Linked DNA regions of Drosophila melanogaster. The protein of the gene in region 1 purifies or fractionates together with the protein of each later gene. This does not show direct contact. Each region holds a gene or a part of one and is shown in the gene's direction. Other genes may lie near its edges. The genes, in order: Atpalpha, Mec2, Mcad and Vha68-2.

Evidence for each region.
Region 2: the proteins of Atpalpha (region 1) and Mec2 purify together in Drosophila melanogaster (affinity purification with mass spectrometry, with the first as the bait; one large-scale study listed by BioGRID). This does not show direct contact.
Region 3: the proteins of Atpalpha (region 1) and Mcad purify together in Drosophila melanogaster (affinity purification with mass spectrometry, with the first as the bait; one large-scale study listed by BioGRID). This does not show direct contact.
Region 4: the proteins of Atpalpha (region 1) and Vha68-2 purify together in Drosophila melanogaster (affinity purification with mass spectrometry, with the first as the bait; one large-scale study listed by BioGRID). This does not show direct contact.

The regions. Positions count from the first base shown.
Region 1 is NT_033777.3:20,946,993-20,951,815, forward strand, and holds the start of Atpalpha (Na pump alpha subunit), read left to right. Parts: upstream 1-1,787; 5' UTR 1,788-1,813; coding exon 1,814-1,837; intron 1,838-4,823. UniProt on the Drosophila melanogaster protein: This is the catalytic component of the active enzyme, which catalyzes the hydrolysis of ATP coupled with the exchange of sodium and potassium ions across the plasma membrane.
Region 2 is NC_004354.4:19,186,060-19,190,730, forward strand, and holds Mec2 (Mec2), read left to right. Parts: upstream 1-1,975; 5' UTR 1,976-2,055; coding exon 2,056-2,224; intron 2,225-2,974; coding exon 2,975-3,488; intron 3,489-3,580; coding exon 3,581-3,746; intron 3,747-3,825; coding exon 3,826-4,029; 3' UTR 4,030-4,134; downstream 4,135-4,671. Other genes in the region: CG33253 (uncharacterized protein), read left to right, coding at 1-147, 219-384, 475-714; HP1D3csd (heterochromatin protein 1D3 chromoshadow domain), read left to right, coding at 4,217-4,671.
Region 3 is NT_037436.4:7,717,714-7,721,990, forward strand, and holds Mcad (Medium-chain acyl-CoA dehydrogenase), read left to right. Parts: upstream 1-1,636; 5' UTR 1,637-1,726; coding exon 1,727-1,744; intron 1,745-2,185; exon of another isoform or gene 2,186-2,346; coding exon 2,347-2,703; exon of another isoform or gene 2,704-2,763; coding exon 2,764-3,648; 3' UTR 3,649-3,759; downstream 3,760-4,277. Other genes in the region: CG7457 (uncharacterized protein), read right to left, coding at 4,185-4,277.
Region 4 is NT_033779.5:12,972,744-12,979,136, forward strand, and holds Vha68-2 (vacuolar H[+] ATPase 68 kDa subunit 2), read left to right. Parts: upstream 1-1,578; 5' UTR 1,579-1,700; intron 1,701-1,878; exon of another isoform or gene 1,879-2,003; intron 2,004-2,442; exon of another isoform or gene 2,443-2,480; intron 2,481-2,658; exon of another isoform or gene 2,659-2,726; intron 2,727-2,870; 5' UTR 2,871-2,893; coding exon 2,894-2,969; intron 2,970-3,382; coding exon 3,383-4,080; intron 4,081-4,188; coding exon 4,189-5,166; intron 5,167-5,233; coding exon 5,234-5,326; 3' UTR 5,327-5,864; downstream 5,865-6,393. Other genes in the region: Vha68-3 (vacuolar H[+] ATPase 68kD subunit 3), read left to right, coding at 6,157-6,393. UniProt on the Drosophila melanogaster protein: Catalytic subunit of the V1 complex of vacuolar(H+)-ATPase (V-ATPase), a multisubunit enzyme composed of a peripheral complex (V1) that hydrolyzes ATP and a membrane integral complex (V0) that translocates protons.

The DNA.
Region 1 (4,823 bases):
TTGGGCCTTTCAGGTTATTTGAGCCAAAGCCAATGCCAAAGCAAAAGCAAAAGCGAAAGCCAAACCCGAAGACAGTGGCAGTGGCAACAAGGCGATTTCCCCTCAGCTTATGTGGGCTCAATTTTGTAGTCGAGCCGGCTTCCTTCTAATGGCCATGGGATATTGAATCGATTGACGGGGCCGCAGGATGAGAGGGCGGGCAAAAGGATGGGCAAAGTGGAAAGTGGGTTGCTCTGCAGCTGAGCGAAAAGTCGTTTCGCCTAAGCAACCGCAGCCCCTTTGGAGCTGCTTCCTTGTTTGTGCTCGTGTCGACAACAATTGATTTCAAAATATTAATTAACCGGATAAACCAATTGAAGCTTCCGGAGAAGGTAAGGGCAAATGAAACCGTGCAAACTGTGCTCTTTGTAAGAGTGTGCAAATTTGGCATTTCCTTGTAATTGGTCACCGAATTGATCAATTGAATGAATCTGTAGAAATTTAGATGCCATTTTGCTGGGAAGCTAACTTAGATAGAACATGCTAGCCTTCAAGAACAAAATGACTTGAGACATCTAATTATCCTGATTATATTTGGGGTTTAGAGTTGCGATAAATTCAGCTTCGACCAAGTGGAGGTCAGCATTTCGGATGATAAAATGAGATCTTGTGCGGACGGAGATAAGTTTTCCAAATGCCTGGTCGTTTGGAGGATTGTTATGTTTATAGCTCCATTACACTGACAAATTGGAAGATCTTCGTCTTGAGTTCCACATCGTGACTCGTACTTATCAATAGTGTTCTCAATTAAATTCATAATTTAATTATAATCAATTACGCGGTCTGTTGGTTTCGGGCGAACCTTCAGTTGGTGCTTCCAATGATAAGTTGCTGGATAATGATGACGAGGGGTATCAGGTGTATCTTGAAATTTAAGTATAATTTAATTAGTTTAAGTAAGCTGAACTTATAATCTCCAAGATGCGTTTTTCCCCACAGGATCGTCGAATTGCTGAGCCTTCGAGAATCTCTGGCCCGTTTGAAGCCATTCATCGCAACAATGATCAACGATCAATACTGAACATAGGAAATAAATTTGAGAAGATTCAAGTCCAGTTGAACATTTCTTGGAGAGTAGCTAATTTATACGTTTAACGAACGCCATCTACACTTCGTTCTATCTGCCACTTAAAATTATTTTGCTTATACAGCGCCACCTATGTTTGGAATGCAAGAAGACGCGCGTATTGTATTTGGTATTTTATTATCTCTTGAAATTGAATACACATAACTATAACGTTGGCAACTCTCCATATCTGTAAATATTCAAGATGGCAACTATCGTAGTGTGTATATTTTAATCTGGCAGCTCCAGTAATTTTCACGCTTGCAGTTGATATAAAAAGTACATAAAAGTATGTTATTTCCAAATTGAGGTGAAAAATTAAACATATTTTTAACTTGGTATTTTAAATTAGCAATTATTAATGAGAGTATTGAAATCCAAACATATCCAGATATTAATATTTGAAGGTAGCATAGTAACAACTTTCGGTAAATAAATATCCAGGTATATTTAAAATACTTAACTTTTCATTTTAAATAAACCAGACTGTTCGGACTATTGACAAATTATAATAGTAATTTTATTCATAATGCAATATTTACAATTACATTTTCTTAACCGATTGCCATCCCGATTTCTACACCGGCTTATTCGATACAATAGGCCGATAACTCTCCATTTGGTAGTCACGACTTCTAAAATATCGATACGTTGGAATTGTGTAAATTTTCCACATCCCTGGGAATAATCGAGTTAAATTAAAATAACATGGCGTTAAGGTCGGATTACGAGGTGAGCAAAAATAAAGCCTGGATTACGATGAAAACTAAGTTAGTTAAGTGAGAAAATGGTTAAGTTTAAACTGTTGTTAGACCATGACGAGGGAACCAAAAAGAACCAGGGCCAAAACAAATTGGCCAAGTGATACGCTGAGCGGGCGTTGTTTTTAGTGGGAAAAATCGAAGCCCGAGTGCGCTGTGTGGGTGTGTGCGTGTATCTGTGTTGTGTACATTGCTTTTGGTGTTGTTCTTGCTGCTGCTGCTGCTACTACTATTTGTTTTGTTGCTGGTGAAAAAGCGAGAAGCAACGACAACAACAACAAAGCCGAGGCGACGCCCAACGAAGTTTACTAATTTGTTTGCGGGCTTTCGGTAACTGCAAACGGAATCGAATGTGAAACGGGGCGCAGTTACTAATCCTATTGGATCTGGATGGGCCTATATCCGCTTACCTGCTGATCTGTAAAAATAGCCTGGGCTTAGAGCCTGGCTTTTGACTTTTTTCTCGAATTTGTATTCGCTCTCCCTTTCTCTTGCTCTCTCTCTCTCTCTCTGCCTCTCTGTCTCTCTCTCTCTCGCTTTCCAGGTGCGCTTAGCTGGCATGCGCAATTTGCATTTCCAGGCCGACCAGTTTCCCAAATTTTCCACTTTCCCGGCGCGAAAGCTTTTCGCTTTTCCGTGCTTGGAAATCTTCCAGTTTTCGGCTTACATAACCGGTACTGCTGCCGCCCCTCCCGAACCACGCCCCATTCCGCCGCATCTCGCAGATTTCATTATTGGAATCTCGAGCTCTAGAACGAAACTACCCTGCATAACACGTTTATTTTTCCATTTTCCGTGCTTTCCCTCCTTCCGGAATTGGTGTCATTGGGCCGAGTAGTGCGCTGCTAATTACACACACTGGCACATTAGCGTAAATCGACGTACTTCTTACCGTACTTTTTTCTCAGTACGTAGCCCTTACTTTCCCTTCCCTACCCCCTCACCATTCGATTAGTTACTAAATGCCCCACCGATGACGCCACTTAATTACCCCGCAGAAGGTAATGAGTTCTTCGCCAGGGTTGTTGTTTCCACCCGGGCTTTCGGTTCTGTTCCTAGGGCTAGACCACCAATTCTAAGTCCGTATTGCCAGCTCTATTGATTTTGGGGCTTGTCTAAGGGCAGGTCACACACACGCACGCACCCACACACATACTGGTTCGACGGCCCGAAAGTATGCAAAACTATAGAGCAAGCGGTCTGAATCCACTCGCAACAAACAGTGGGTCCAGATATTATTTGTAACGGGAAAACTTGAAAAGAACGCTTAAGACCTCACTTAGACTTGAAAGTGTCTTGTAGAATATATTTAGATATTATTATATAATTATTATAATATATATTATATTGTGCATATTTGTATTGTTATAAAATTAAGTATGTAATTCCAAAATTACGTCTTTATTAGTATTGTAGTGGTATGCATATTTTAAGAATCAAAATAAGTTACGCAAATTATTTTAAGTTTAAAAACATTTGTGGTTGGGTTTATTGGGTTGGGTTTCATACAATTAATTTTATAAAATATGACGCATTTCCCAACGGATTTTCAAGGGCAAATTCTGATGATAATATTGTTGGTGTAGAATACAACGTTGCATAATTATTATAATTCAATCTGCCGGACTACGACATCTTATATCTTAACCCAGTGTGCTCAGTGGAAATTCTATTATGATTTCACGCACAAATCCGCGTAAAGCTGAGTTATGTACGAGTATATCTCACATCCCCCCACCAGCGTTGTGGCTTCGTTTTGTATGCTGACTCATGCGCTTTCAATTGAAGTCAATTTAAGAAAGCACATCAAAAATCATGAAACTACAATCTGACGATGCTCTAAGAACGCGATAATGAAGTTCCCTTCCTCTCAATGTGCGTTCCATAAGTAAATGATTTGGAATTAAGGGCCAGCCAAAACGAGAACTAGTTGGTATATGTATGTATGTATGCATCTACCCGTTTATCAGTCGAAAAATGCAGATAAAGCAATTAAGAGTTTATGGAGAGGACGGCAAATAAGCTGAATAATGTGCTTCCAACGTGGTAATGGCAGGTTCTAAATGCTAACACCCAGGATTTGAATACTATCAGCAGTTATCAGCGTTGACATGTAGTACACACACCTATACTATATATTAACCAGATATTTTGTGCACCCGAATAGACGGGCCCCTTCCCTTTTTGACCAGTTTTACCCGGCTCGGAGATTTTAGGTTCGCGTTAACTACTTAACAGATTGCCGATGGCAGTAAAAGCGACAGTGATAATAATTACAACTGGAAAATACCAGAAAACCGTCCGACAGAGGTGGTGACTTGCTTTCGGCAATCAAAGCGTGGCAGCAAAACAATATTGGCCGTTTTAATTCAATTACGCGCCAATAAAAATCTAATCAACTGACAATGGCAAACCGTTTGAATAGATCTTGTTGGAAAAAGCCATCTACGCTATGTGGGCATCATCAATTGGCGGCCATAATCGCAAGATGTGGAAATTATCACCTCGCCCATTGACTGTTTGCTGTCACATCCAGCACACAGATTGCATTCGACAAGGACTTCGATTTGTTTCGCTGCGGTGTGATATTTGGCACATGCCCAGTTTGCGTCAATGGGTAGGGTCTTAATTACTAACGATTGCATAACCCGCTATTAGGGGTCTGGGCCTCCAGTTTCCCAGGTATCGGTATCTGTATCTGTGCCTTTGCGCTATATTTACCTTTCGTCTGCTTATCAGATAACACTCGCTCGACCAACACTTGTAGATTAAGTTCTAGAGCGGTACGTTGATTTATTTTCGTTTTCGTTTGTTTTCGAGTTGGTCTCCAGCTTGTAGGTCTCTCAAGGTCCATCGATCATTACCCTTCAGGGGTGGCTTAGTTCCGAAGGGGTAGTTTATTGTCCAGCTACCTGAAGTAGCTGAGCCGGAGCTCAACAATGGCTCAATTGTTCCTG
Region 2 (4,671 bases), on another chromosome or scaffold:
CCTGGCGGCCACCACGCTGCGCAATGTGCTCGGCACCAGGAATCTGTCCGAGCTGCTGACCGAACGCGAGACCATCTCGCACACCATGCAGATGTCCCTGGACGAGGCCACCGATCCCTGGGGCGTTAAGGTGGAGCGCGTGGAGATGTGAGTAGCCAACTGCCGAAAGTCGTGATGTGATCATGACATGATCCACTCTATCCATGATCCGCTTGCAGCAAGGACGTATCCTTGCCAACTGCCCTCCAGCGGGCGATGGCCGCCGAGGCGGAGGCAGCGAGGGAGGCGCGGGCCAAGGTCATTGCCGCCGAGGGCGAGATGAAGTCGTCGAGGGCTCTGCGCGAGGCTTCCGAGATCATCTCGGCCAGTCCATCCGCCCTGCAGGTGAGTCATCTTCTTCCATCTGAATCCAACCATCGGACATTTGGAACTGGCCCAAATGGTTTCATTCGTTCCATCTTCTTCTCTACTTAGTTGCGATACTTGCAAACACTGAGCAGCATTTCAACCGAGAAGAATTCGACCATCATCTTCCCGCTGCCCATGGAGCTGCTCACGCCCTTCCTGAATACCCAAGCACACTCGCAGCAGCTGCAACTGCAACACCAGCAGCAGCTGCAACAGCAACAGCAGCAGCATCAGCACCAACAACAACAACATCCTGCGGCTCCTGGCACGCCACTCCATCGACACCCGCACCAACACCACCAGTGACGCTCGATGTCGGTGCTGCAACCATATCTGGAGGCACTGCATCGCTGCGAGCTGCAGCGTCAGCAGAAGCAACAGCGAAGCGGAGCGGCTGCAGCGGGAGCGGCGGATGACGATGACGACATCGTGGGTTTCTTGCTCTAGTGGAACGGCGGCAGCAGCGACAGAAAGCGGAACTGTCCGGAAAATCCGGAAAATGAGTCACCAATGAATTCGAATGAAAGTGCCATGGAATTCCCTAGATTCTGGAGAGATTCAAACATGGTTCGGACTTAAAAATAAATTTTTTTTTTTTAGAATTTATTCTAATATGTCGAATTTAGTATGCAATAGTAACTGAGGCTTTTCCAAGGCTTTTCCTTCTTCATTCACAGTCGTTTTAAGTAGAGACGTTATATTTAAAATAACCAATATTATTTGTTTGTATCTTAAGAATTAATAACAATAGCTAACTACAAACCAGGGTAAAAGCTAACCATTTAAATAAACCAAATGATTCAGAAAACACATTTTTTTTTTCAGTTCTTCCCCCTTTTTCGAAACAACAAAATTTACATTTATATATGATATATATATATGTATGTACATATTTGCTCTTCGCTTATCTAAATAACTCAGATTTGCATGCCACTTCAGCGAGTGTGGCAGATAAGCTCTTCAGTGCTAATGTGACCGCCAGATCAGAATTGAGTCACCATCGGGTGGCTCCAGCCAATGACCCGTGACCCCAAAGCAGAACTGCGTCTCAATGCTCCAGCTGAGATAACCGATTGATTAAAGTGCTAAACGCACTTGGGCCAGATAGAGCTTACTCGGCTTTCATTGATCGTCGGTCGGAATAATCTGAAAGTGTACGCCTCCAGTTGGCAATTCTTTCGGCGCAGTGCAGTGAATCATCCGTGGTGACCCATGGCTCTCGACTTACAGAGCGGCTCTTGGTGTTTCCCCGGTCGTAGATACACTACACTGAACGAAAATTTACGAGCCGATGCATTTACATTCCATTCCATTACATTCTCTTATATGGCATGTGCTCAATTGCTGTGGAGGATGTACGGACTAGAGATCGCCTCTTTCAGTGGCGGCACACTTGGTTCGTGGTGTTTCAGTGCAGTGCTTCTTTTCTCTCACTGTTGAATCGCATTTAAGCCGCTCGGCAGCTCAGCGTAGCGATAATGCCAATGCGATACTTCGTATCTGAGAGAACCAGTGCGCTCTTATCACGTGAGAACGCTTTTGGGCATTCAGTTTGGCTTTTGCGGCGCTGACCGCTGGCGACAGTTTCGAATCCATAGCCGATCGGAGAGCAACGAACGTAGGCCAGAACGGAGCAGAGAAACAGCAATGGAGCCGCACCAGGATTCGCCCGTGTACGCCAACTACGAAGATATGCGCAACTCTGGGCCGGCCAGCTCCACGGCGTACATGGTCAACATGGGCGCCGCCGGCATGGCACCCGAGCCGGCACTTCGAGTGCCCGGCACCACGCAGCAGTATCGTGGATTCAAAACTTGTAAGCGGGCGGAAACGGTGTATACTATAGATGCAGCAAGATGATGACCCATCCCGGCCAATATTAGGAGAATTATTATTGTTAAAAAAAAACAAGTCTTTGCTTACTGTCAAGCGCTAATCACTTTAGATCGATTGAGATACGATTTCTTGGAATCGCTGGTTCAGATAAGATTGCAACAGCATTTTGATCGCGTGAAAAGTTTGTTTTTGGCTCAAAGCATTCTACAATATTTCAGACATGCAAAACCGCTTGATTCGGTTAATAGTATTCACTAGATAGGAGTTCTAAAAATACAAACTATCTCTCGCTTTATCAAAGTAGTACTAGTAGCAATTTGATTTCCATCGTAATCCCACATAATCGTCAATTGCTACAACATTCTAATTGTATTGGCGCATATATATTACACCTGTCTATATTTTTAATCGTAGGAATTTTTATTGGACTCCAAGATAAGCGGGCTGATTGGTGTTTATCCGTGTTTTCTTTTTTTTGATTGTGATGGCTATTGCTTTTCACAGCTTTCTCTTTTTCAAGTTGTTACATAGTCCATCATAGTCCTGTTTTACTTAATAATAAGTTGGTCTCTTCGGAATCCGGACAAAGAAGGTACTTCATCTTGGCCATCGAATTGAAGTGGACTTATCTACGTTTCTCTTGCGGCACAATTATTGTACACATATGCCTGAAATATGGCCATTTTGTAGATGAATATTTCATATTCATATTCCTAACATCCCATTGCAGCGGAGAACGAGCCCAAGGGCTGCATGGAATGGGTGGTCACCCTGTTCTCCGTGCTGATCTTCATCATCACATCGCCCATCGCCATCTTCATATGCTTCAAGGTGGTGGCGGAGTACGAGCGGGCGATCATCTTCCGGCTGGGCAGACTGAGCGGCGGAGCTCGTGGTCCCGGCATGTTCTTCATCCTGCCGTGCATCGATGAGTACCGCAAGGTGGACCTGCGCACGGTTACCTTCAATGTGCCGCAGCAGGAGATGCTGACGAAGGATTCCGTGACGGTCACTGTGGACGCCGTTGTCTACTATCGCATCAGTGATCCCCTTTATGCGGTCATCCAGGTCGAGGACTACAGCATGTCCACTCGCCTCCTGGCGGCCACCACGCTCCGAAATATCGTCGGCACTCGCAACCTGTCCGAACTGCTAACCGAGCGCGAAACCCTGGCCCACAATATGCAGGCCACGTTGGACGAGGCCACCGAGCCGTGGGGCGTCATGGTGGAGCGCGTTGAGATGTAAGTAGCCATTTAGTAGGCATTTGACATCCATCAGATCAGATCAGTATTTCTTAACATCTGTACGTTGTATGCACTTCACCCGCTGACAGCAAGGATGTCTCCCTGCCCGTTTCCATGCAGCGTGCCATGGCCGCCGAAGCGGAGGCAGCTCGTGATGCTCGTGCCAAGGTGATCGCCGCCGAGGGTGAGAAGAAGTCCGCCACAGCGCTCAAGGAGGCATCCGATGTCATTTCCGCCAGTCCATCGGCCTTGCAGGTGGGTGTTGTCCTAGTAAAAGCTGAAATCAATCGTTGAGCACGGATTACCAGCCATTCGAATTTTTCTGTCATCACAGCTGCGCTACTTGCAAACCCTGAGCAGCATCTCCGCCGAGAAGAACTCCACCATTATCTTTCCTCTGCCCATGGAGCTGCTTACTCCGTATCTGGCCAAATATGCCCACTTGATGGGCCCGCCACCGGAACTTAAGCAATCGCCAGAAAAGTCAGATAACATAGTTTTAGACGCACTGGACGCTTGGCCGAAAACCAACCTATGATTTGAATCTAGGGCGTTGCCAGAGTTTGAAAATATTAATGTCTTATTCATTTTTTTTTTTTTTTTAATAAATGCAATTCGCACTAGCTGGCAGCTTCAGCAATCGGAAACTTGCCGCCATTTTTCATTTAACGATTGCACGTGAATTCATTTGGTTTACTTTTGCAAGAGAACTTTATTGCTAAACGATGGCGGACAAAGAAAACAGCCCCAACAACAAGAACACAGGTGGTTTCCCCGCGGAGGAGGAAAAGCAGAAGGAGAACGATCAGCAGAAGGAGAACGATCAGCAGAAGGAGAACGATCAGCAGGAGGAAGTGCAGGAAGAGCCGACAAAGGATGAATCCAAGGAGGCCGGTTCGACGCCGCCTCCAAAGCACATGGGAGTTCACAATTCGGCTCGGGCAGAGCTGGCTCGGCTGCTCGTCGAGTTGTTGGTACAACAGGCAGAACTGGATGCAACCAACGGTGGCAGCGTGTCAGGGAATCTCGATGGCGGCAATTCCAATGAGTCCCAACCGTTGAACGTGCCGCCTACGGATGCGCTCCTGGTCCGCGGCAAAGCAATTGAGAATGTTATGTACAGCTATATGCTTGGTGACACGGTCTACTTCATTGTCACCTGGAAGGGATCCAAGTGGGG
Region 3 (4,277 bases), on another chromosome or scaffold:
TGTTGTGGCCGCTGTGGGGCAGATGCGACGAGTGCTGCACACCCACCTGATGTCCGTGGTGGTGAGGAACATGACCTTGGGACGCCTCCATCAGCGTTGGCTGGATGTGGGTCACAAACTGGGCCATTTTGCCGCAACCTTCAACTACTGCTCCCTTTTTGTTGTGGTTTCTTTGAGGTTTGGGCTTAGGTAACACTTGTTTAAAATTTCACTCCTCTATGAGGCGGTTTTTTTTTTTGGGAAGGCGGGGGTGGCACTTTTATATGTATCCCAAAAGTGGGAGTGGGTAGCACAAAAAAACACACACTACGGCTGGCTTGCGGACGAGTTGTGGGCGACGGAGGATTTGGGCTCGGACCGTGGACAACCTTCTCGCAGGAGCAATGTCAAATGACTGACTAGGAGCAGCTATCCCAGTTGGGCCTTAGACGCCACAGGACTCGCCACCCGCCATCGCACCACCCGAACCACTTCGGCTCCAGCTCGGCTGTGCGCGTTCGTCCTCGTCGTGGCGGAAGAGCTTTAACCGGACCCAGTTTTATGCGCCTGGCCTGGCTGATAAGAGATACCACTCGCTTCAACGGCTGATTACGACTTTGGATGGCTGCGGATGCTGATTTAATGATGTCTTCGTGCCGCGCCACGTAGTGCTCTGTTTTTTATATCTGCCTGTCAACTGTGTCACGGATTTCCAATTCGTTTCGCTGGAGATTTTTTTGTCGCTGGGAGGCGGGGCTGCAATCTGTTATTTTTAAAACAGCCAGAGGAACATGTTCCGTCTATTTGTGTCAAGCGGGAAAGTATGCTCCGATTGTTAAGCACCTAACAGGTGGCAGCGAAGTCTAACGACTAGGGACTATCCTGTTGGTTCTTATTTTATTATTTAACATATCAAATCATGTTTTAAATGTTTTGAATATGGAAAAATGGGGTTAAAAAGTTAAAGCGAATGAAACCTATAATTATCTAATTGTCTCTACATTTTATTCTAAACTAACCAAAATATAGTATATTACTATTTAATATGAATTATCCCTCAATGACCTCTGCCGACGAACATTTTCAAGCCTAATATACCCGATTGTATTATTTTATACCTATTGCCCAGAAGCAATACGTTACGTTGTGAACTGAAAGCTTTTACCTTACGTAGATTGCTGGGCATTACGTTAAAGCTATGTTTTATTAAGCTTATTTCGTAGGGTATTTCGTGTGGTACATTGATATCTTAAAAAAGGGGGTGTGTCTCTTCATACACATATGCCTATGTACTTGACAAAACCTGGATGAAATGTACAGTTGGTATTTTAAAAATATTTTACAATACAATTTATTTATATAAGCATTATATTACAATTAAGGCGAGGTACAAACAAATTTGTTAACTCTTCGAAAAGCTTTGGGAAAGTTCCATCAACAGCGCATACAAATGTCTGCGAAATCTTCCCTTATCTCAACCTCCTGCATATATTTGTAGGTGCATATGCTTGTAGTTCGTTCGTCACCACGATTCTGTAGCTTTTGCGACTGCCAGCGCAACAAGGTCCAATGTCCAAGCGTCGCTGCCATATCGCGATGAACCAATGTACATATGTATGTACATATATAACATCGCTATACCGGCGCATCGGCAACTCGTTTGGATCATTTCGCTGGCAGCCACCGACGAGTTAGCAAGGCGACCTAGTTAAAACTCAGGAAAATACGAAAATAAACCCACATTCAAATGGCGTTCCTCAACAAGGTGAGCATATCAGTCAATTTACAACGCAGAGAAAGTGAAAAACACATCGCTGGGACATATCATATCCAAAGGTCCAAAGTTCTATCACGCTAGTGACGACAGCAACTGTTGATCGTAGGATCATACATACATATACATATGTACCTACCAACAAACATATATTCGAGTGGGTTCCGTTTCGAAAACAATTTGTTGCTGCCTATCTGTTAGCAATCATCTGTACTTTGCCCCCCCTGAGAAAGTATTATTAGCGGCGTCTAATGGCGGCTTATCGTGCACTCTATTTAAATCGGAATGCAAACTTTATGGGCAGGCATATTCGTTATCTGTTTTATGAAAAAAATAGAATGTGATGGTTGGTTATGAACCTCAAACATCCAAAGTCCCTTGTAAATATAAAAAAAACCTTCGTCTATGATCATGATGTTGTATTAATTAAATACATACGTAGTTGGCCCATTTTATTTGTTGCTTGTAGTTAAGATTAATTCGCGGTCAACTTTGTTGTTGTTCTGATTATTTCTACATTTTCATTTTGCATTTCGATAAACACTTGTTTACCAGTTGACTTTAAATCCGATATCCAATATCCGAAAATCCAGCTTGCTGCGCCTGCCCTGCGCCAGTTGGTGTCCCAAAGTCGCGCCTACGCCGCCGTGTCACACGTTTCGCCCAATGGCACCTCTTTCGCACTCACCGAGGATCAGCTGCAGCTGCAGGAACTGGCACGTAAGTTCACCCGTGAGGAGATCATCCCGGTGGCCGCCCAGTACGACAAGAGCGGCGAGTACCCGTGGCCCATCATCAAGAAGGCCTGGGAACTGGGCCTGATGAACAACCACATTCCTGCTGATATTGGTGGCCTGGATCTCGATGTGTTCACCACCTGCTTGTCGGCCGAGGAGTTGGCCTATGGCTGCACTGGCATCATGACCGCCTTAGAGGCTAGTGGTCTGGGCGTAAGTTTAAAGTCATGTCTATTTACGGCAAGATGATCGAAACGCCACGTTCTTTCATAGCAAACTCCTGTGATCCTGTCCGGTAACAAGGAACAGAAGAAAAAGTACCTGGGCCGCCTGCTGGAGGAGCCACTTGTCGCCGCCTATTGTGTTACAGAGCCCGGAGCAGGATCCGATGTGTCCGGCATCAAGACACGCGCCGAGAAGAAGGGTGATGAGTGGGTAATCAACGGCCAGAAGATGTGGATCACCAACGGTGGTGTGGCGAACTGGTACTTTGTGCTGGCCCGCACCAATCCGGATCCCAAGTGCCCGCCCAGCAAGGCCTTCACCGGGTTCATTGTGGAGCGCGACAGTCCCGGACTAACGCCCGGCCGCAAGGAGTTGAACATGGGACAGCGCGCCTCCGACACGCGTGGCATCACCTTCGAGGATGTGCGCGTGCCCAAGGAAAATGTGCTGATTGGCGAGGGTGCCGGTTTCAAAATTGCCATGGGCACCTTTGATAAGACGCGTCCTCCAGTTGCTGCCGGAGCTGTGGGTTTGGCCCAGCGTTGCTTGGATGAGGCTCTTAAATACGCGCTGGAACGCAAGACCTTTGGCGTGCCCATCGCTTACCACCAGGCTGTGCAGTTCATGCTGGCTGATATGGCCATCGGTGTGGAGACATCCCGTCTGGCGTGGCGTCTCTCCGCCTGGGAAATCGACCAGGGACGCCGCAACAGCTACTATGCCTCCATTGCCAAGTGCCATGCCGCCGATATGGCCAACAAGATTGCCTCCGATGCCGTCCAGATCTTTGGAGGCAACGGCTTCAACAGCGAGTATCCCGTGGAGAAGCTGATGCGTGATGCCAAGATCTACCAAATCTACGAAGGTACTTCTCAGATCCAGCGCCTCATCATTTCCCGAAACATGTACGAGGCTGCTAAGGGTCAAGCCTAAGTCAGTTTTAACTAGGATTCCTCATCTCCATTCACCTCATCAGTTGTCATGCTCATTGTAGACACATTCACAAATCCGATTAATAAAGTACAATAAGTAAATAATTACAAGAAAATATAAATCATTGATTGTGATTTGTCTGTTGAGGGAAATGTTGTATAAATGGCACTTGGTAATTTCTAAGGAATTACTTATTCCTCAAGTGTATAAAAGGAAGGAAGAAGTAAGCAAACAGTCAGTGCGTTAGTATGTTTACTAATTCTTAATATTTCAAGTTTCTCTAATCTTGCCCTCACTTACCCCCAAAATTGTAGAGTCTAGACCATCGCAAATTATTTCGCTAGCTATCATCCATTGATAAGATAAGCCCTGTGGGGGCTGAGTGTTTGTTCTACTTAGGTTCAACGAATCGCTGTTCTGCTATCAACTGAACGATAAGACTTACTGTACTTAGATTTGCTATATAATTGTCAAACAATAAAAAATGCTCTGGGACATACAACACAAGGAAATGGTTTACACATGATGAGACTACACTATTCCGCATCGCTTCCATCAGCGAGTAGCTTAAGTAGACCTTTGTACCGCCTTCCAATTTTCCGGCTATTTGATGTGGTCAACATTTTGGC
Region 4 (6,393 bases), on another chromosome or scaffold:
CACCGAATCAGAATCCGAAACACTCAGTCACTCAATCACTCACACACACACACTCTCACACACATACGCATACATCTGCAGTGAGGGGAATCCCCGTTCACAGGGCTGATAGAAATTTGCAATGAATCGCAGGCAGATCCTCATGCCACATGCACTGCTGCCTTATTATGCAAATGCTGCGACTCGAGATGCGCTCTCGCTGCCTGCCAACGTCATCGATTTATAAGTTATGCAAAGAGCGGGAGCCAGAACTCACACACCTACCCTCTGCCCCTGGCGTGTCCTTCGTATCCTTCGCATCTCGGGAACATAGAGGCTTTCGCTGTTCGACTTCTATGTTAGCATGGCTTTGCGTTGTAGTTGCCACTTTTGCTGACTGCAATCCGAAAATTTAGCTAAATCAAGCTGAGTGCAGCGACACTGAAAAAAAAACTAGCATGGACTCAAGAACTAAAATATTTAAATGAGGTTTTCTAGCCATATTATGATTTAAAAGAAGTACAATTATGTTGTTACACTCACATGTAAAATATCTAAGATAATAATATAATAAAAAACAAATTAAATGGTTAAGTTATATAAACATTAAACTTCTTATAAACATATAGTTTGGTTATGCGAATTTCTCAATATTTTCAATTAGCACATTCGTTTTCCTCTTTAAATAAGGAGAATCCACTTAAAGAAATCTGATAATCGCTGCATATTGTGCTATTTATTTTATGTTAAAAAAGTATATTCGCAAGAGCATAAAAACAATCTGATCGGGTTAATCTTAACTTTTTCGCTGCTCCATTCTCATTGATTACTACAGCACAAAAAAAAAGTGGGGAAAGCGTGGAATCCTAACTAGAAGAACGGAAGATAGAATAATGGATAAAAAACAAAGGGGCAGGGCAGCAAAAACTTAAATCATTGGCAAATACCTTTTTACGATGCGGATTTTAATCAAAGTTTTTGCCACCGCTGTCAGTTTCTTTTTTTTACTTAAAATGGTAATAAAAAAAAAAGGGGAAACGACGATAAATAAACATTTTAAAATAATTGCTAACGGCGTGTTGTTGCGCTTTAGTGAACTTATTAGTCTACCCTCGCACCGGCCAATTTCCACAATTGATTAGTTTAAAATTGCATTTTTTGGACATTTAAATGGGAATCTAATTGATTGCCATTTTTATTGAGAGCACTTAACACTATACAATGGCAGGTTTTGTATTTAAGCTATATATTCCTCGTTTATACAGTGTCAAATTAATTATTGATTTTATAAGCAGCTAAGAAAATGATTGTTTAATTTGGACCGATTGATCATCGAGGACTTAAAATGGACTTAAAATAATTGGATATTAGCAACTTTGAAAAGATCCCGTTTACTCCCAAAACTTCAGAATCAACCCACGAACTTCTTTAAGCCAGTGTGACCCCACCCGCTCTTTAGCTCTCTTTCGCTCCATCTCGCTTCCGCACATCGATTGGCGAAAGCTTCGCTCGCACTCGATATCAGCTCACAACTTCGCTTGCAAGCTCGCCGCGGAAAGCTCGCGATCACACGGGTCGAAATCGAAATCGAATCGCGGTAGAGAGCTTTTCGAAGTGCGAGCGTCGACGTTTTATTTCTGCGGCTCAGTCGGTTTTAGTTCGTTCTGTTGGAGAAAAGCAGCAATCACACGTTCGCAAGGTGAACGCGAAGACACAGCAAAGTAAGCCCTTCCCCCCCACCAACACACACACCCACCCAAAGCAAATAAGTAACAATAAATAATGGAATGGCTGGAAGACGGTTCTGGGCGATTTAAACAATTAGCGAAAGAAAGCGGCATTGAAATCCGTCTTGAATTCGCCCCGAAAAAGTGACGAAGCAGCGATCAAAGCGCAGAGCGAAAACACGCACACAGACTGCAAGTGTGTTAGATAATAAGTGCAGCACAAGTCCACACTTGAGTAAAATAATCCCTAAAAAAGCCGAATATCAATTAGTTTTCCAAGGAGCTTGAAAAAGTGCGGTATGAAAACGTGAAAATTTGCGCGTGGAAAATTATTTTGCCTTGTCAGCTGACCCCCTTCCCCGTGTTCGCTCCATCCCTGTCGCACCGCGGGTCTTGTGATCGCCGCCGCTCTTGCGCTCGCTTGCTCTCCCATTTCGAAACTCGAAACAGAAGTGGGAGTTATTCGTATTCCGATAATGAAAAACCAATATGGAGAACGAGCGACGTAAAAAAGGCGGCCCAAAGATTTTTACCATTTCCCTTACCCACTTTTTTTTCATTTGTCAGCTGACGGCAATGACAGTAGTCTTGTGATCAACGTCAAAAGCAATTGTCAAATATTCGAACTCGAATGGAGAGCGAGAGAGCCAGAGCGGAGAGTTGCTCTCCCACTCCACCCTCTCTTGTTTTTCTTTGCTGATAATTATGAAAACCCGCATATTTTGAAAAACATGCATTTCAGTTACATTCCTCCGTTGAATTTGTCAACCTGTGGTTGTTTTTTCACAGCTCTTATTTTATTTATTTAGCGATTAGTTTGACAAATTGCTCTCTTCGAACTTTCAAAGCTCTGTCACGTGAAACGAAAGCTCTGCTTTTAAAGTTTTACGCAGCATAATCAAAGAGGGGGAGTTAAAAAAAAAATAATTAAATCAATCGAAATTATTAGCTGCTAACCTACAACTTTATAACCTATAATCGAAAAATTTGGGAGCTGTGGGCTCTACAAAAACTTAACCTGTAAATGTAGCAGATACACCTGCCCCTTGTCAGCTGACAGAGGGCTGAGCAAGAAATTAGTGATAAGAAAATGTTCACCTTTATCTTCGCCCTTTTGCAGCCAGCATTTAACAATTTTCCTCTTCTATTTTCCCTCCATTGCAGTCGAAAAAACAGAATAAAGCAAAATGTCCAACCTTAAGCGTTTCGATGATGAGGAGCGTGAGTCCAAATATGGACGTGTCTTCGCTGTCTCCGGTCCTGGTAAGCACCTAACTATACTGACTAACCATAACTCATGCTATCTAAAAGTTAATAAAAATAAGTTAATAATACCTGTGAACTGGAAACCTTACTTTGATGATTAGTCTAGAACTTACACTTCTGTGTGAAATAATGGCAACTTTAGAAATGTGTCCACCTATTTGTGATTAATATTCAAACAACTCAAACATTTTGGTTTCATTATTCAAAATTAAATGTGAATAATTTTAATAATTAATTAATTGTTTCTTTAAACTTTTTTCTATAATTCTAACAAAAACATCATCAAGTATCATTAATAATAAAAAATTTTAAAAGAAAATGTTCAATGGAACCTATCTTCGTTTGCTGAGTTATAAAAACTTCTTGAATGAAATGTAGCCCCCCTAACCCGACCAACCGCTTCATTCCAGTCGTCACCGCCGAGGCCATGTCTGGATCAGCTATGTACGAGTTGGTCCGCGTCGGCTACTACGAGCTGGTGGGCGAGATCATCCGTCTGGAGGGTGACATGGCCACCATCCAGGTGTACGAGGAGACCTCTGGCGTAACTGTCGGAGATCCGGTGCTGCGTACCGGCAAGCCTCTTTCCGTGGAGCTGGGACCCGGTATCATGGGCAGCATCTTTGACGGTATCCAGCGTCCCCTGAAGGACATTAACGAGCTGACCGAATCCATCTACATCCCCAAGGGTGTGAACGTGCCCAGTTTGTCCCGCGTGGCCAGCTGGGAGTTCAACCCCCTGAACGTCAAGGTCGGCTCCCACATCACCGGAGGTGACCTGTACGGTCTGGTGCATGAGAACACTCTGGTCAAGCACAAGATGATTGTGAACCCCCGCGCCAAGGGAACAGTGCGCTACATCGCCCCCTCCGGCAACTACAAGGTCGACGATGTCGTCCTGGAGACCGAGTTCGATGGAGAGATCACCAAGCACACCATGTTGCAGGTGTGGCCAGTGCGTCAGCCACGTCCCGTGACCGAGAAGCTGCCCGCCAACCACCCCCTGCTCACCGGACAGCGTGTGCTCGACTCGCTCTTCCCCTGTGTCCAGGGCGGTACCACCGCCATTCCCGGAGCTTTCGGTTGCGGCAAGACTGTGATCTCGCAGGTGAGAGTCCCACAAATTGAGAATTTAAGGAGCGATGCCTCGTGTAGCCTCCATACACTCAAGTTTCATAAAAATACAATCCCTAATAAATCATTTACTTGCTTGCAGGCTCTGTCCAAGTACTCCAACTCCGATGTCATCATCTACGTCGGTTGCGGTGAGCGTGGTAACGAGATGTCTGAGGTACTGCGTGACTTCCCCGAGCTGTCCGTGGAGATCGACGGTGTCACCGAGTCCATCATGAAGCGTACCGCCCTTGTGGCCAACACCTCCAACATGCCTGTGGCTGCTCGTGAGGCCTCCATCTACACTGGTATCACCTTGTCCGAATACTTCCGTGATATGGGTTACAACGTGTCCATGATGGCTGATTCCACCTCCCGTTGGGCTGAGGCTCTTCGTGAAATTTCTGGTCGTCTCGCTGAGATGCCTGCCGATTCCGGCTACCCAGCCTACTTGGGAGCCCGTCTGGCCTCCTTCTACGAGCGTGCCGGTCGCGTTAAGTGCTTGGGTAACCCCGAGCGCGAGGGATCCGTGTCCATTGTCGGAGCTGTGTCTCCTCCTGGTGGTGACTTCTCCGATCCCGTGACCTCCGCCACTCTGGGTATCGTGCAGGTGTTCTGGGGTCTCGACAAGAAGTTGGCCCAGCGCAAGCACTTCCCCTCGATCAACTGGCTCATCTCCTACTCGAAGTACATGCGTGCTCTGGATGACTTCTATGACAAGAACTTCCCCGAATTCGTGCCGCTGCGTACCAAGGTCAAGGAGATCCTGCAGGAGGAGGAGGATCTGTCTGAGATCGTGCAACTGGTCGGCAAGGCCTCTCTGGCCGAAACCGACAAGATCACGCTGGAGGTGGCCAAGCTGCTGAAGGACGATTTCCTGCAGCAGAACTCCTACTCCTCGTACGATCGCTTCTGCCCCTTCTACAAGACCGTGGGCATGTTGAGGAACATCATCGACTTCTACGACATGGCCCGTCACTCCGTGGAGTCTACGGCTCAGTCTGAGAACAAGATCACCTGGAACGTGATTCGTGAGGCAATGGGCAACATTATGTACCAGCTGTCATCCATGAAGTTCAAGGTGGGTTAACACGCAAATTTATCCATTGCCTAGACACTGGGTGACCACATTTTTCAATCCATTTCAGGACCCCGTTAAGGATGGTGAGGCCAAGATCAAGGCTGACTTCGAGCAGCTGCACGAGGACCTGCAGCAGGCCTTCAGAAATCTGGAGGACTAGAGACCGCGCTGGCCCTACTTTTACACTCTAATCTTATATTTGTTATATAGTTAACGTTTAAAAATGAAAGCAGTCAAAAACCATCCGAAAAAGCCTAATCAAACACCAACAATTCCGTGCTGCATTCGATGAAAAACAAAAGTCCAACAAATACCACAACTTCTTGGTGCCTGCGAGAGATGTAAACATTCCGGCCTGCGGTTAATACTTTCCCCTAACCACGCCCCCTCCGCCCCTTGAAGGGCAACTCTAGGCAACAGCAACTACAACGTCCTGCTATGTACTTCCATTTACAACAACAACACCAACATACACTTGAATAAAAGTACACGGACACTGGCGCACACACAACACATACATAAAAGACACAAATACAAATGCATGCATAAATAGTATTATTGTTTAATGAATGGAAATTCTTGTTTATTTGTGAAAAAAGTCATGTTTTCTCCCTGTTTGTTTGTTAAATTTATGTAAATATTTAAAGTATGAAATATTAAATGTACGAATAAAGTGCAACAACAAATACATTTAATGTAATTGAAAGTGAATTTCACTGGCAGCAGAATGGATATTAAAAATGTGTCAACTCGATAAAAAGATAATAAGTTAAAATATTTTTTTGAATTTTAAACCTTCATTATATAAACATACTTGACTATATGAAAGCTAAGAAAATGGGAATATATTGAAAAGCATAATCTAAAATCCTATATCATTCTCAGTCATCACCTTAGTCTTTCCATAAACTTCTGCCCCATTTATTTTATTTATTTGACAATATTAGTAAAAATTGTACCAAGTGAAAAAATTGTATATATTTAAACCAAATGGAAAAGAAGTCCTGGGTTGCACCGCTTACCTCGTTCACCAACAGTAACGCAAGTAACGAAGACAGAGCCCGCAACTCGGGATCGTTAAACCAAGATGGGGAGCCAAGGTCCGTGCCTCACCCAACGGTTCCGGCTAAGAAGTGCACATGTCCAACCTGCGCTTGCCAACGTAATGACCATAAATCCAATCCGGTACCCCCTCCCCCTCAATCACGCAAGCCTGTAGCCGAGCCG